2 linked regions of the Caenorhabditis elegans genome follow. Each later gene encodes a partner of the first gene's protein in a complex. Each region holds a gene or a part of one and is shown in the gene's direction. Other genes may lie near its edges.

Region 1 (5,746 bases):
TTACAAAATTTATTGGCTTATTGTTAAGCAGCGAAAAAAAAAACTAAAAATGAAAGGTTATAATCAGAACAAGTAATATTGAAGGAATGTACAACATGATGATTTCAGGTATCCGTCGAGACTATGGCCATCACAGCGTTGCCGATGGATGTTTGGCTGAAAGAACGACTCAAGAAATGGGTGCAGTTATCAGGACATGAAGGTTTGTGTCGAACCAGAGATGAAATGACGGAAATCAGTAACTGAAAAGTTTTACAGGAAGCATTGTACCCGCCACGCCTCATACGTTATACAAGAAACAGTGTGCAAATTGTGGAGAAGGAAGAGCTTATAAGAATATTTCAAAAGACCCAGCACTTGATGGATTCACACCTAAATATTATGATGAACTGGAGAAAAATGAAGAGCGTAAGCATTTTTTTTTTGAAATAATGACAAATTTCCAAACTTTTCTGAACTTTTCATATAATTTAAATATTTTTATTTATTCAGATTTTATCGAAATCGAAGATCTCCTGCAACAGTTCCATGACCCCACAAAAACCGCAATTATGGACATCAAAATCGGAACAAGGACATTTTTGGAATCAGAAGTATCAAACACCAAAAAACGGGCTGATCTTTACGAAAAAATGGTTGCGATTGATAATGACGAGCCGACAGAAGAGGAGAGAAAGTGTGGAGCAATCACAAAATTACGATACATGCAGTTTAGGGAACGAGAGAGCAGCACTGCACAGCTCGGATTTCGAATTGAGGCAGCCAAGGTATGTGAATGGGTCTCGAACCGGCCGTATATATAAAAATTAAAATGTATGCGCCTTTAAAAAGTACAGCAGTTTCCACGGTTCACTTTAAAAAATTGCAAAATAGAGAGGTTTGAAGACTACAGTTTTTTTAAAGGCGCACACTCGTTCATATTTAAATATGTGATCGTGTCGAGACCGGCTACTCTATTGTTGAAGTTTTTGGTCCTTACTTGGCTCAAATTAGAGCTCCAGCTGTGTACCTGACTTCCGCAGTGCTCAAAGCTTTAATCTTTATAAAACATATGTTTTTCCATCCAATTCATGGGTATATTTAGAATTCTAAATGTTAACATAACAAGTTTTCTTCAAACCCTAAACTCTTCAACATCGCATTTATTTCCAGAGGCTCGAAGGCGCATTGGAGAAAAACTTCAAAAAAGTACGAACAGTTGAAGATGTCACAACTACATTTATGGACTTCTTTGGAACTCAAAGAAGCCGTGTAAGACAACAATTAATTGAACGACTGAAATCAATGCGAAAAGCCATCGAACATTCATCATTCTTCAATTCACATGAAGTCGTCGGAAGCAGTATTCTGATTGTTTTTGATACGGAAAAAGTGGGATGCTGGATGATTGACTTTGCAAAGAGTTCACCGGTTCCTAATGGACGAACACTAAACCATCGGACGACGTGGATACCTGGGAATAATGAAGATGGGTATTTGATAGGAATCGATAATTTAGTCAAGGTAAGCTTGGTTTTCTTAGAATTTTTTATTTAAATATTATTAATGTAGCACCTTACTATTAAACTCAGTTGCCTTTTGTCCTATACAAAAATTGTTAACGGAAAAATATTGGAAAGTGTTTCATATTGTTTTAAAATTTTTTAAAGCAAAAATAAAGTAGTGGGATTTAATACTATTAGAGAATATTCGGTAACTAATATAGATAAGAGGTGCGGAAAATCAATTTATATATTTTCAAATTCTTGACACTATATTTATTTTTCTTTTGAATTTGAGTTTATTTAACTAAAAGAAGAGAAATAAACAAATAAAACGAGACGAACCCTAAAAGAGTTCAACTCGAGTAAAAGTTACATAAAAAAAGAAAGAAAAGATAATAGGGAACAGGTGAAACGGGGAGAAAAACGAGAATGGAGGTAAAAGTGTAGTTATAACCGGGGGATGTTGAGATCAATAAATTCACAGAACTGATATGGGGACATAAAAACCGTAACATTTTTGAATAAATTGGAAAAAATATTGGAAAGTGTTTCATATTGTTTTAAAATTTTTTAAAGCAAAAATAAAGTAGTGGGATTTAATACTATTAGAGAATATTCGGTAACTAATATAGATAAGAGGTGCGGAAAATCAATTTATATATTTTCAAATTCTTGACACTATATTTATTTTTCTTCTCATAAATTTTAAATGTTACCAAGTAGTTGAATTATAATTCAAATATTTTCAGATTCTCGAAGAACTCCCCGAGTACGGAGAACATCCTGATGACCAGTTAATGGTCACAGAGGAAGTGATTGCCAGAATGAAAAATACGAAATCGTAGAAGCTTCTACCTCCTTGGATTACTGTAGATAGATGAAAGTGTGTGTCTCTTCATATTCCGCCATAATAATTTCTGTGATTCCCCACCGCTCCTCCACAAAATCCTCATCCGTGTACAATTTGCTATTATTCAATTTTACACCCCCTCCAGCCAGTCCTTGTTTTTGTTGGTTTTTTGAAAAAGAAAATAGATTTTTTGAAAAAGAAAATAGATTTTCACTTTTTAATCTATCGCTTTCCCCTTCTCTTTTCCTTTACCATGGCATAATCCCTAGACTTTCTTCTTACTTTCAGTTGTTTTTTTTGTTCCATTGTGTACGATCCGAGTAATGGATTAATTGATTGGGTACAATTTGTATATTTTTATTCTCAAATGAAGAGAAATTTTTGAAATGTCCAGTTGCAATTTAGATCCAAACAACAATCTATTGAAGTCTTTGCTTTAAAAGCTAGAGCAGGTGCAATTGTTCCCAGTGCATATCGGCCGATTGCCTAGTGAAAAGTACTAGGCAAAACAAAAAACTTATGGCAATTATTTGGGGATTAAAAGAAAATTGTTCAGAAACAAGAATCTATGAAATTTGGTATGCAGCAGAACAAACGTTTTCGAATTTCACAAAAGAGTGGACAATTGGTGCTCTTATTCAAAATTTCAAAGAGACTTCAAAAAAGCTTTCTTATATCATTTTTTAGGTTTTCATTCAGAAATGTTTTTCTATTGTAGATAATGTACAACACTGACTATAAAAAGTACAATGTTGATATTTTTCATCCAGCTCATTTTGAAGATATTCAGGAAGGTTAGTCAATCTGAATTCAATAATTAATTTTTGAATAAATAATAATATTTCAATAAATAATTTTTGAAAATTTTTTCAGAATCTGCAGATTGTGGGCCAAATGTGCAAGAGGTTCGGCAATTTCTGGAGTCAAATCGACTTGAATATGCTCTTCAATCCGTTCTCTTAAACCCACCATTTGGTCATTCTGAACAGGTTTTATTTTTTAATGTCATTTTGCAAACCTCTTTCCCTTTTAGGAACTCAAGAACCGTGCTGTTCTCCTTGTGGCCGAGGTTATTCATGCATTTCGACAGACCGATATTGAAGAATCAGTTCACAAGCTGTCAAATGAAAATGGAGACATTCTGATGAAGTATATTTACAAAGCAATGCAACTATGCTCTGATTCTGCCACGTGTCTTTCTCTACTATTGTGGCATTCTCAATTGGTATCAAAATTTGGGCAGGGATCCATTGTTCGAGTGTTGTCCAATCGACAACGTCTCTAATTTTTTAATGAAGGTACATGTATCTGTTAATTTCTGCAATAAAACTCCAAGATCCAAAGTTTTTTATATGAAGAAGTTCAAATTTACAACAACCAAATATATTAGGAAATAAATAAAATGATTCAAGAAAAAATGAAGATTATCCAGAAGTGCAGAATCCGCAAGTGAGTGGGCATTGAGCTCTCATAAGGGTTGCGTAGGCAGAATTGGTACAGAATGCACGACGGTTTGGACAATCGGAGACTCCTGTAGCTGCGTTGACTTGGTCAACACAGGTGGCTGAAAAGTTCAGACATGGAACGTTATGAACAATTATTAATCTTACTTGAAGCTGTTGTGGAGGAAGATGAAGTTACGGTAGAGCTTGAGTTACATCTTCCACAAGTTCTTGGGCATTGTTGAGTCATGACGGCATAGTAGACTGAATCATTGCACAAAGAAGCTCGTGCAGTACAATCAGAAACTCCGGTGGATGGGTTTACAAGATCGGCACAGCTAGTGGAGCTTGTGGTAGTTGAGTTACAACGACCGCATGTTCTTGGACATTGTTGAGTCATGACTGTGTAGTAGGTGGTGTCGTTGCAAAGATAGGCAAGTGCTGGACAATCAGAGACCCCGGTAGATGGATTGAGGCGATCAGCACACGAAGTTGTAGAGGTTGAGGTTACTGTAACTGCTGAAGCAGTTGTGGTTACTGTAGATCCATCAGAATCTGTTACCACAGCAGCAGTGGTTGAAGTCACAAGGGGAACGGCTAAAAATCATAGGTCACGGTTGAAAGAACCTTGTTGACTTACTGGTTACAGGACAACATTGACCAGCTGCCACATCACAGACCTGTGTCTGGCACACAAGAATGCCACCGTCACATGCTGAAATGAAACAACTCAAACTCTAAAAGTAATGGCAGTCTTTACTTACGTCCTTCAGATTCAGAAGCTTCGCAAGCAAATGCAACCGAGAAAATGGCAAATGAAATAATGAATTGACGGAACATGATAGAATGATGGTTATAGTTCTGCAGCAGTTGCTTTTATATTGTGAGATACTGTCCATCTGTGCAAACAGTTGTCTCTGTTACATTTTTGGAAACAGAATGACCATTGTTTTACATGGAAAAGTACCTGGATTGAAAGCAAACATTTCAATCCTCTCTGCATAACAATTGCTTCAAATTTAGTAAAATGCCCCTCGTAATTAACAAAGGAACAGTTATGATTGAAAGATTTTTATGAAATCGATCCTTACTTTCACGCAGTTCCATCCAATAAAAATATAATTTTAAAGTTTACCATTCTGGGAAAGACAGTTATCTTCTGAGAAAGTATTTTAATTTCATGTTGTTCGGTTAATCCTTAGAAGCAAATTGAAATTGGTTATTGTTGGAAGGACAACACTTCCATCAAAAAATGTATACAGTTTTAGGAGATCGTTGCAAAAATTTTTCACCAAGTTGTTCGGATAGATCAGCCCAATTATAGTTTTGACTTGTAAAATCTTCTTTAGAATTCGATCCTTTCTTTATTTTATTTAAAGCCGATGATCTTTAAAACCACCTTCCCTTTTGAAAAACTTTTGAGAGCACGGCAAAGGCAAATTATTTTTTGCGATAATGTAAAAGTACAATACAGACTAACTTAAGTGAGTGTAACACAGGATTGAGTCAGTCAGCGATAATTTTTTTCAAAACATCATCAGAGTTTCTTTTTAATTAGAACGCTTTTCGTTTTCATAGTTTTTTTTTTAATTTCCTGTATTTTCCGAACATCAATAATTTTTACAGGCGCTGATAAAGTAATTAATTTGTGGGAGCAAAATAGACGTATAGGTACTCCAATGGGTGCTTCATTTCATTTTTAATAAGTTTTTAAATTTTTAAATTATAAATTTAATTTTTTTTAAAGTTCTAGTATGTAAGTCAGACTTTTGTATAAAAAAACAATCATTATAAGGTGAAACTCAACGAAAAATTATTGACGCCAGATTCATTTAAAGTTGTCCAAAAAAGTTTTAATTATTAATTCAATGAAACAAAATAAAAATTGGATATGTTTTCAGAATGTTTGAAAATGAAAAAATAAATATTTTATTACATTTAAAACATTGAGATGTTTTGTTTTGAAATCG
Region 2 (6,469 bases), on another chromosome or scaffold:
GTCGCAGAATATCGTGCTCAACTGGCGTCTGCAGTATCTGCTGTGATTTTCGCGAGCAAATATCCTGGAAAAGTGATCGAAATCGAGATAACCGTTCTTTCGGATGATGGTGGTGTTCTTTCAACTGCACTTTCAGCTGTCACACTAGCCATTTCTCATTCTGGAATTGAAAATATGGGATTAATGGCCAGTGTTCATGTGGCAATGAATTCTGATGGAGAATGCTTGACGGATCCATCAACTTCCGAATCCGAAGGAGCCATCGGTGGCGTCACATTCGCTTTCGTTCCGAATCTTGGCCAAACAACGTGTGTGGACATTTACGGACGAATCCCTCTCAAATCCACGTCATCACTTTTGGAATTTGCGAAGCAAAGAGCGTGTGCTCTGGTTCCGACGATTCATAAGGCAATTGTGAACAGTGTGCGAGAGAGAAAATAAATGTGTTGACAATTTTTAAATTTATCTCTCATTCCGAATATCTAATTTAGAAAAAAAAGTTTTTGCCCGATTATTTGAAAATACATTTTTCCGTCTAAATTGAACATTAAATAGAAATATAAAATTGAATTCGACAAAATTTTTTTTGAAAATATTTTTTAGTTCGTGATTTCAAGCTGAAATATAAAAAAACAGATATTCAAAATATCATGCTCAAAAAAAATATGGAAAAAAGAAATATCTTCGTTTGCATTAAATTTTTTTCGAATTCTTGAAAATTTTTTTCGAATTCTTGAGAATGAGAATTTGAAAAAAAAAATCTCAAGCGAAAATATTGAACATTTCCATATTTTTGAGCATGATATTTTGAATATCGGTTTTTTTTTATTTTAGCTCGAAATCACGAATTTCAAAAATTTGTCAAAATTAACATTACCGAATTCACAAGTTTAAAAAGGATTAAAAATTAACATTACCGAATTCACAAGTTTAAAAAGGATTAAACTTGTGAATTCGGTAAAGTTAATTTTGACAAATTTTTGAAATTCGTGATTTCGAGCTAAAATATAAAAAAAAACCGATATTCAAAATATCATGCTCGAAAATATGGAAATGTTCAATATTTTCGCTTGAGATTTTTTTTTCAAATTCTCAAGAATTCGAAAAAAAAATTTTTATTTTTAAAACGCTCAATTTAGACGGGAAAATGTATTTTTCAAAATCGGACGAAAACTTCTTTTTTTTCTAAATTAGATATTCGCCGATACATTTTCTAAAAATTCAATTAATTATCCCCGATTTCACTTCAAATGCACCCCCTTCCATCTTTAATGAATGGGAGGAAAGAGCGCTCCACTGCACACAGATTCTTTGAGTAAATATAATACTGTTTAGTCACCTTCCCTTTTGCCTTCTCCGTCGTTTCTTTCTCATTTCTTTCTTGTTGATTTTGTTGTTGTTTCCCTTTTCATTTTGTTCAACCGTCGTGGTTTTCACAGTTTTCCTTCATTTTAAATACAATGAATTCAGAATTCTCTATGCATTTAATACCCTTCTTATTCCGTCGCTGGTCGCGGTTTTGTATTTTAATTCCTTTTTAATTGTTTTTGTACATTTCTCTCTCTATTTTCTACACTTTCAGAAAAATGATCATTTTGGAGCAAAACAACCGAATTATCGTGGAACTTCTCGAGCAAAAATTTGCAAACGCGAAGGAAGGGTTGGTTTTTTTTTGAATTTTAAACGTATTTTTGTAATTTTGAAAGAAAACATAACTGCATAATTTTCCTTTATTTTTAAATTAAAAACATTACCTTTCCGAAATTATTACGGAAATTTCGTTATTTTTTCAAACGTTTGTTGAAAACAATACCAAGAAAAAGTAAACTTGTGTGCGGTTTTCCCGTAGATATAGGTCTCGCCACGAATTTAGCATTTTCAGGCTTTAAAAAGTGTATGTTTTTATAAAGAGTATAGTAATTTCTCCATGGTTCTTCAACTGAAGTGCCAGAGAAACAACGATGTGTGTGAGAGTAATGTACTTTTTGAAGGCACATAGCGTTAAATTGAAAATGATTTGATCGTGGCGAGACCTTAATATATTGTTACTCTCACTAATAATCACCTTTTTCAGTGGAAAACCAGAGTCGGTCAACGTGACATTCGCCGATTTTGACGGAGTTCTCTACAAACTTTCGAATCCAGATGGCGATAGAACCAAGATAATTGTTAGAAACTTTTTCACAGTCTAATAATTTTTAAAACTAATTTTCAGCTGAGCATCTCGCTAAAATTCTACACGGAACTGCAGCAACACGGAGCGGATGATGTATGTCGCCGCTTTTTTCTGATGAATATTTGATTTTCCAAAATTTCCAGCTCCTTCGTCGTGTGTACGGTGGTCATATGCGTTCAACTCCGGAACAAGGATTTAATGTCACTCTGGAATACAATTTGGCCGATCTTCCGGCAGATACAACGGATTTGGTGCAGGCAGCTTCTGCTTTGAAGAGAAATTGTTTTGCTTCAGTCTTTGAAAAGTATTTCGAATTCCAAGAGGCCGGCCAGGAGGGGCATAAGAGAGCTGTTATTAATTATAGAGATGATGAGACAATGTGAGTACCGGTTGTGTTATGGCGTTATTCGAGAAGTGTCGAAAAATTTAAAAGTGTAGAAAAACTACGCCACAACTGTTTTAAAATACATAAAAACATGTATTTTAATACAGTTGTGGCGTCATAAATGTTTTTGAACACATTTTGCAAAATTACTTGATTAACCCCATTAAACGAGGAAAGTTGAAAAATGTTCAATATTATAAAGATTTGTTCAATTAAAATAATTTCACAGAGAAAGGCTGAAAAGTGGCGTTTTTATTCCAGTTTTCGTGGATTTTCAGAGAATTTGATTTATTATTTAACTATCAAAAGATATAAAAATTTTCGATTTTTTCATATTTCGAAAAAATTCCAAGTTTGCCGGAATTTTTCAATTCCTGCACTTTGCCGTTTTGCCGGTTTTCCGCCCACCCCTGAATCGACTCTCTACAATTTTTCAAATAAATAATTTATTATTAGGTCTCCAAATAAGTTCCGGGTCAAAAATCATAACTTTGTTCGCTGCGAATCGATTTTTATGAAATTGTGGGAATTTATGTTATCAACCATGATCTTTCATTTGACAATAGTCACAAAATTTTTTGGCCGTCCGAAGTGCCCGTACTCATAGCCAATTTTTTCAGGCATTTTTCAGATCTCGCTTCTTTTCAGGTTTCAACTAAGGTTTGTGTGCGGATATTGCTTAGTTTAGTACACAATGTAAGAGAACAAGAAAAGTTTGAAAAAAATCCGTCCAAAAAAATTTTTTTGTCGATCGTCAAAAAATCTTCAAAAAATTTTTTGTCGAAAATTCTTAATTTTTCATACAAAAATGATGTAACCATGTGCAAACTATTTTTACACATACAAAAAATTTCAATTTAGTGCGTCTCACTAAAAAAAAATAACAAAAAACACAGCTTTTTCGAACTATTTTCGAGTTTTTGGAGTATTTCTCAAGATCCAAATTTCATACTCAAATGTTTTGTATGTGTAAAAATAGTTTGCACATGGTTACATCATTTTTGTATAAAAATTCAAGAATTTTCGACAAAAATTTTTTTGTAGATTTTTTGACGAGCGACAAAAAAAATTTTTTTGGACGGATTTTTTTTCAAACTTTTCTTGTTTTCTTACATTGTGTACTTAATTAAGCAATATCCGCACACAAACCTCAGTTGAAACCTGAAAAGAAGCGAGATCTGAAAATGCCTGAAAAAATTGGCTCCGAGTACGGACACTTCGGACGGCCAAAAAATTTTGTGACTATTGTCAAATGAAAGATCATGGTTGATAACATAAATTCCCAAAGTTTCATAAAAATCGATTCGCAGCGAACAAAGTTATGATTTTTGACCCGGAACTTATTTGGAGATCTAATAATAATCACAAATTTGCCATTTTCTCTGAAAAATAGTAAGAATTAATAAAAAAGTGTTTTTCACTTTTTCAATACGCACAAATTTCTTATTTTTTGAACAAAAAATTCTGAAAAACAGTACTTTTTAATTGTAATACTGCAAATAATATACTTTAAACCCCAATGATTTTCAGGTACATTGAAGCGAAAGCGGATCGTGTGACCGTAATCTTCAGTACAGTTTTCAAGGACGCTGACGATGTGATAATCGGAAAAGTGTTCCTTCAAGAATTCCGTGAAGGCCGAAAAGCCAGTCAAACTGCTCCAGCAGTACTCTACTCACTCGGTGAACCACCTTTGGAGCTTAAAGATCTTCCAGAAGCCCGTGTTGGAGACAATGTTGGATACATTACATTTGTGTTGTTCCCACGTCACACAAATAAGAAGACAAAAGACAATACGATTGATTTGATTCATTCGTTCCGTGACTATCTTCATTATCATATCAAATGTTCCAAAGTCTACCTTCACACCAGAATGCGTGCCAAGACCACTGATTTCTTGAAGGTTCTCAATCGGGCACGTCCAGAGGTCAAAGGAGAAAAGAAGACGTTCCATGGAAGAACTTTTCAGACCCAATAAATGTACAAATTATCACAATTGTTACCAAATATTTTTTTTCTGTTTTCGCTTTAAAACCTTATTTATTGCTTTGATTGTAAAATGTTCTTATGAGGTTCGTGAAATTTTGATATGAAATGAATTATTGCAGTAAAATGGAGAGCGATAGTTAAGGCACAATTTGTGGAATGATATCAATTACTATCCGATTTCAAAGAAGAAAAACATGGACGGGCTGAAAATGCATAGGGATCGGAGGAGAGAGAGGAGAACAGGTATTCAGGTAGACCCTAGTAGTTTGACCTACGAAACTTGCGGGAATGGTGTTTACGCGTCATGGCAAACAACGAGGAGTCCACCTGAACACATGTAATGTAATAATGAAGAAATCTCCTAAAAATCATAAAAATTTTCAAATATTATCATTTGGAGCAATTTTACGGGCCTCTAAAGTAGTGAAAAAAAAAACACTATTCAGCTCGATTTTTATCCAGTTCAAAGTGTTTTTTTGCCGGCCTATTTAGGAGGTACTCTTTTAACATAGATTTCATCCAGAAGTCGGGGTTAACTTGAAATACTTCCCTTGTTCTCTCACATGATCTAAAATACTCATTCACATCTTTTAGTTGTCCTGCAAATACGCTTCACATTTTTTTTCTTCAATTTTTTGCAATTCATGTATGCTGAATTCAGAAAAACTAGGTTTAACCCATCAAAAACTATTAGAAAGTGGCAAAAATGACAATTTATGGCAAAAAATCACATTTTTGAAACTGCTCTAAAATGGTAACTTTTATAGTAAGATGACTCAAAATTGATTTTCTGACACTATAAAATTGCCCTTTTCCAATTTCTAATAGTTTTGTACATTTTTCAAAAAAAAATTTTTTGCCTAAATAAAAAAAAGGACAGTCAAAAAAAGGACACAAAAAAAGGACAAGGAGTAGATGGCTGAAAAAAAATTGGGCAAAAATAAAAAGTTGTCTAATTTTGTTAAAAACGGGTAATTCATGTATGCTGAATTCAGAAAATCCAGGTTTAACCCATCAAAAACTATTAGAAAGTGGCAAAAATGACAATTTATGGCAAAAAATGATTTTTTTTGAAACTGCTCTAAAATGGTTAGTTTTATAGTTAAAGGACTGATAATTGATCGCAAAGAACTAAAAAATTGTCTTTTTTCAATTTCCAGTGTTTTGTACAAATTAAAAAAATATTTTGCCTAAATAAATGGCAGTTATTGGATGGCTGTAAAAAAATTGGAAAAAAAAAATAATAAGTTGTCTAAATTTGTTCCAAAGTCTACCTTCACACCAGAATGCGTGCCAAGACCACTGATTTCTTGAAGGTTCTCAATCGAGCACGTCCAGAGGTCAAAGGAGAAAGGAAGACGTTCCATGGAAGAATGTTTCAAACCCAATAAATGTACAAATTATCAAAATTGTTACCAAATATTTTTTATTTCTGTTTCCGCTTCAAAACCTCCTTATTCATTGCTTTGATTGTGAAAAGTTTTTTATTATGAGGTTTGTGAGATTTTGATATTAAATTATTTATTGTAATAATATTGGAGAGAAAGTCAAGGCACAATTTGTGGAATGATATCGATTGCTACCCGATTTCGAGGATGAAAAACATGGACGGGCTGGAAATGCATGGGGATCGGAGGAGAGAGAGAGGAGAACATGTATTCAGGTGGACGCTAGCAGTTTGCCCTACGAAACTTCCGGGAATCGTTCTTGCGCGTCATGGTAAATGGCGAGGGGTCCGCCTGAACACATGTATGTAATCTAATAATGATCATATGTATATGGACATTTTTAGATTATGATTGGTTGAATATTTTAATAGAGATCTCACTAGAGAACACAATTAAGGAAAAAACTGAACTACAACAATCTGGAAGGGGCTTTAGGAAGGGCTGTCTTGAATAATTGAATCAGGGGCAAGT

Evidence for each region. Proteins that work in one complex are often made in the same cells at the same time.
Region 2: C46H11.3 (region 1) and arx-4 share a complex: the UniProt entries of both Caenorhabditis elegans proteins name them as parts of the arp2/3 complex.

Annotation. Positions count from the first base shown.
Region 1 is NC_003279.8:5,038,437-5,044,182, forward strand, and holds C46H11.3 (putative actin-related protein 2/3 complex subunit 5), read left to right. Parts: upstream 1-2,933; 5' UTR 2,934-3,055; coding exon 3,056-3,128; intron 3,129-3,207; coding exon 3,208-3,323; intron 3,324-3,367; coding exon 3,368-3,619; 3' UTR 3,620-3,656; downstream 3,657-5,746. Other genes in the region: lfe-2 (Inositol-trisphosphate 3-kinase homolog), read left to right, coding at 109-202, 259-408, 493-767, 1,153-1,503, 2,234-2,329; C46H11.7 (ShKT domain-containing protein), read right to left, coding at 3,759-3,898, 3,945-4,373, 4,417-4,491, 4,541-4,616. UniProt on the Caenorhabditis elegans protein: Functions as a component of the Arp2/3 complex which is involved in regulation of actin polymerization and together with an activating nucleation-promoting factor (NPF) mediates the formation of branched actin networks.
Region 2 is NC_003281.10:860,724-867,192, forward strand, and holds arx-4 (putative actin-related protein 2/3 complex subunit 2), read left to right. Parts: upstream 1-1,582; 5' UTR 1,583-1,586; coding exon 1,587-1,660; intron 1,661-2,074; coding exon 2,075-2,168; intron 2,169-2,215; coding exon 2,216-2,269; intron 2,270-2,319; coding exon 2,320-2,555; intron 2,556-4,091; coding exon 4,092-4,539; 3' UTR 4,540-4,673; downstream 4,674-6,469. Other genes in the region: exos-4.2 (Exoribonuclease phosphorolytic domain-containing protein), read left to right, coding at 1-441. UniProt on the Caenorhabditis elegans protein: Functions as actin-binding component of the Arp2/3 complex which is involved in regulation of actin polymerization and together with an activating nucleation-promoting factor (NPF) mediates the formation of branched actin networks.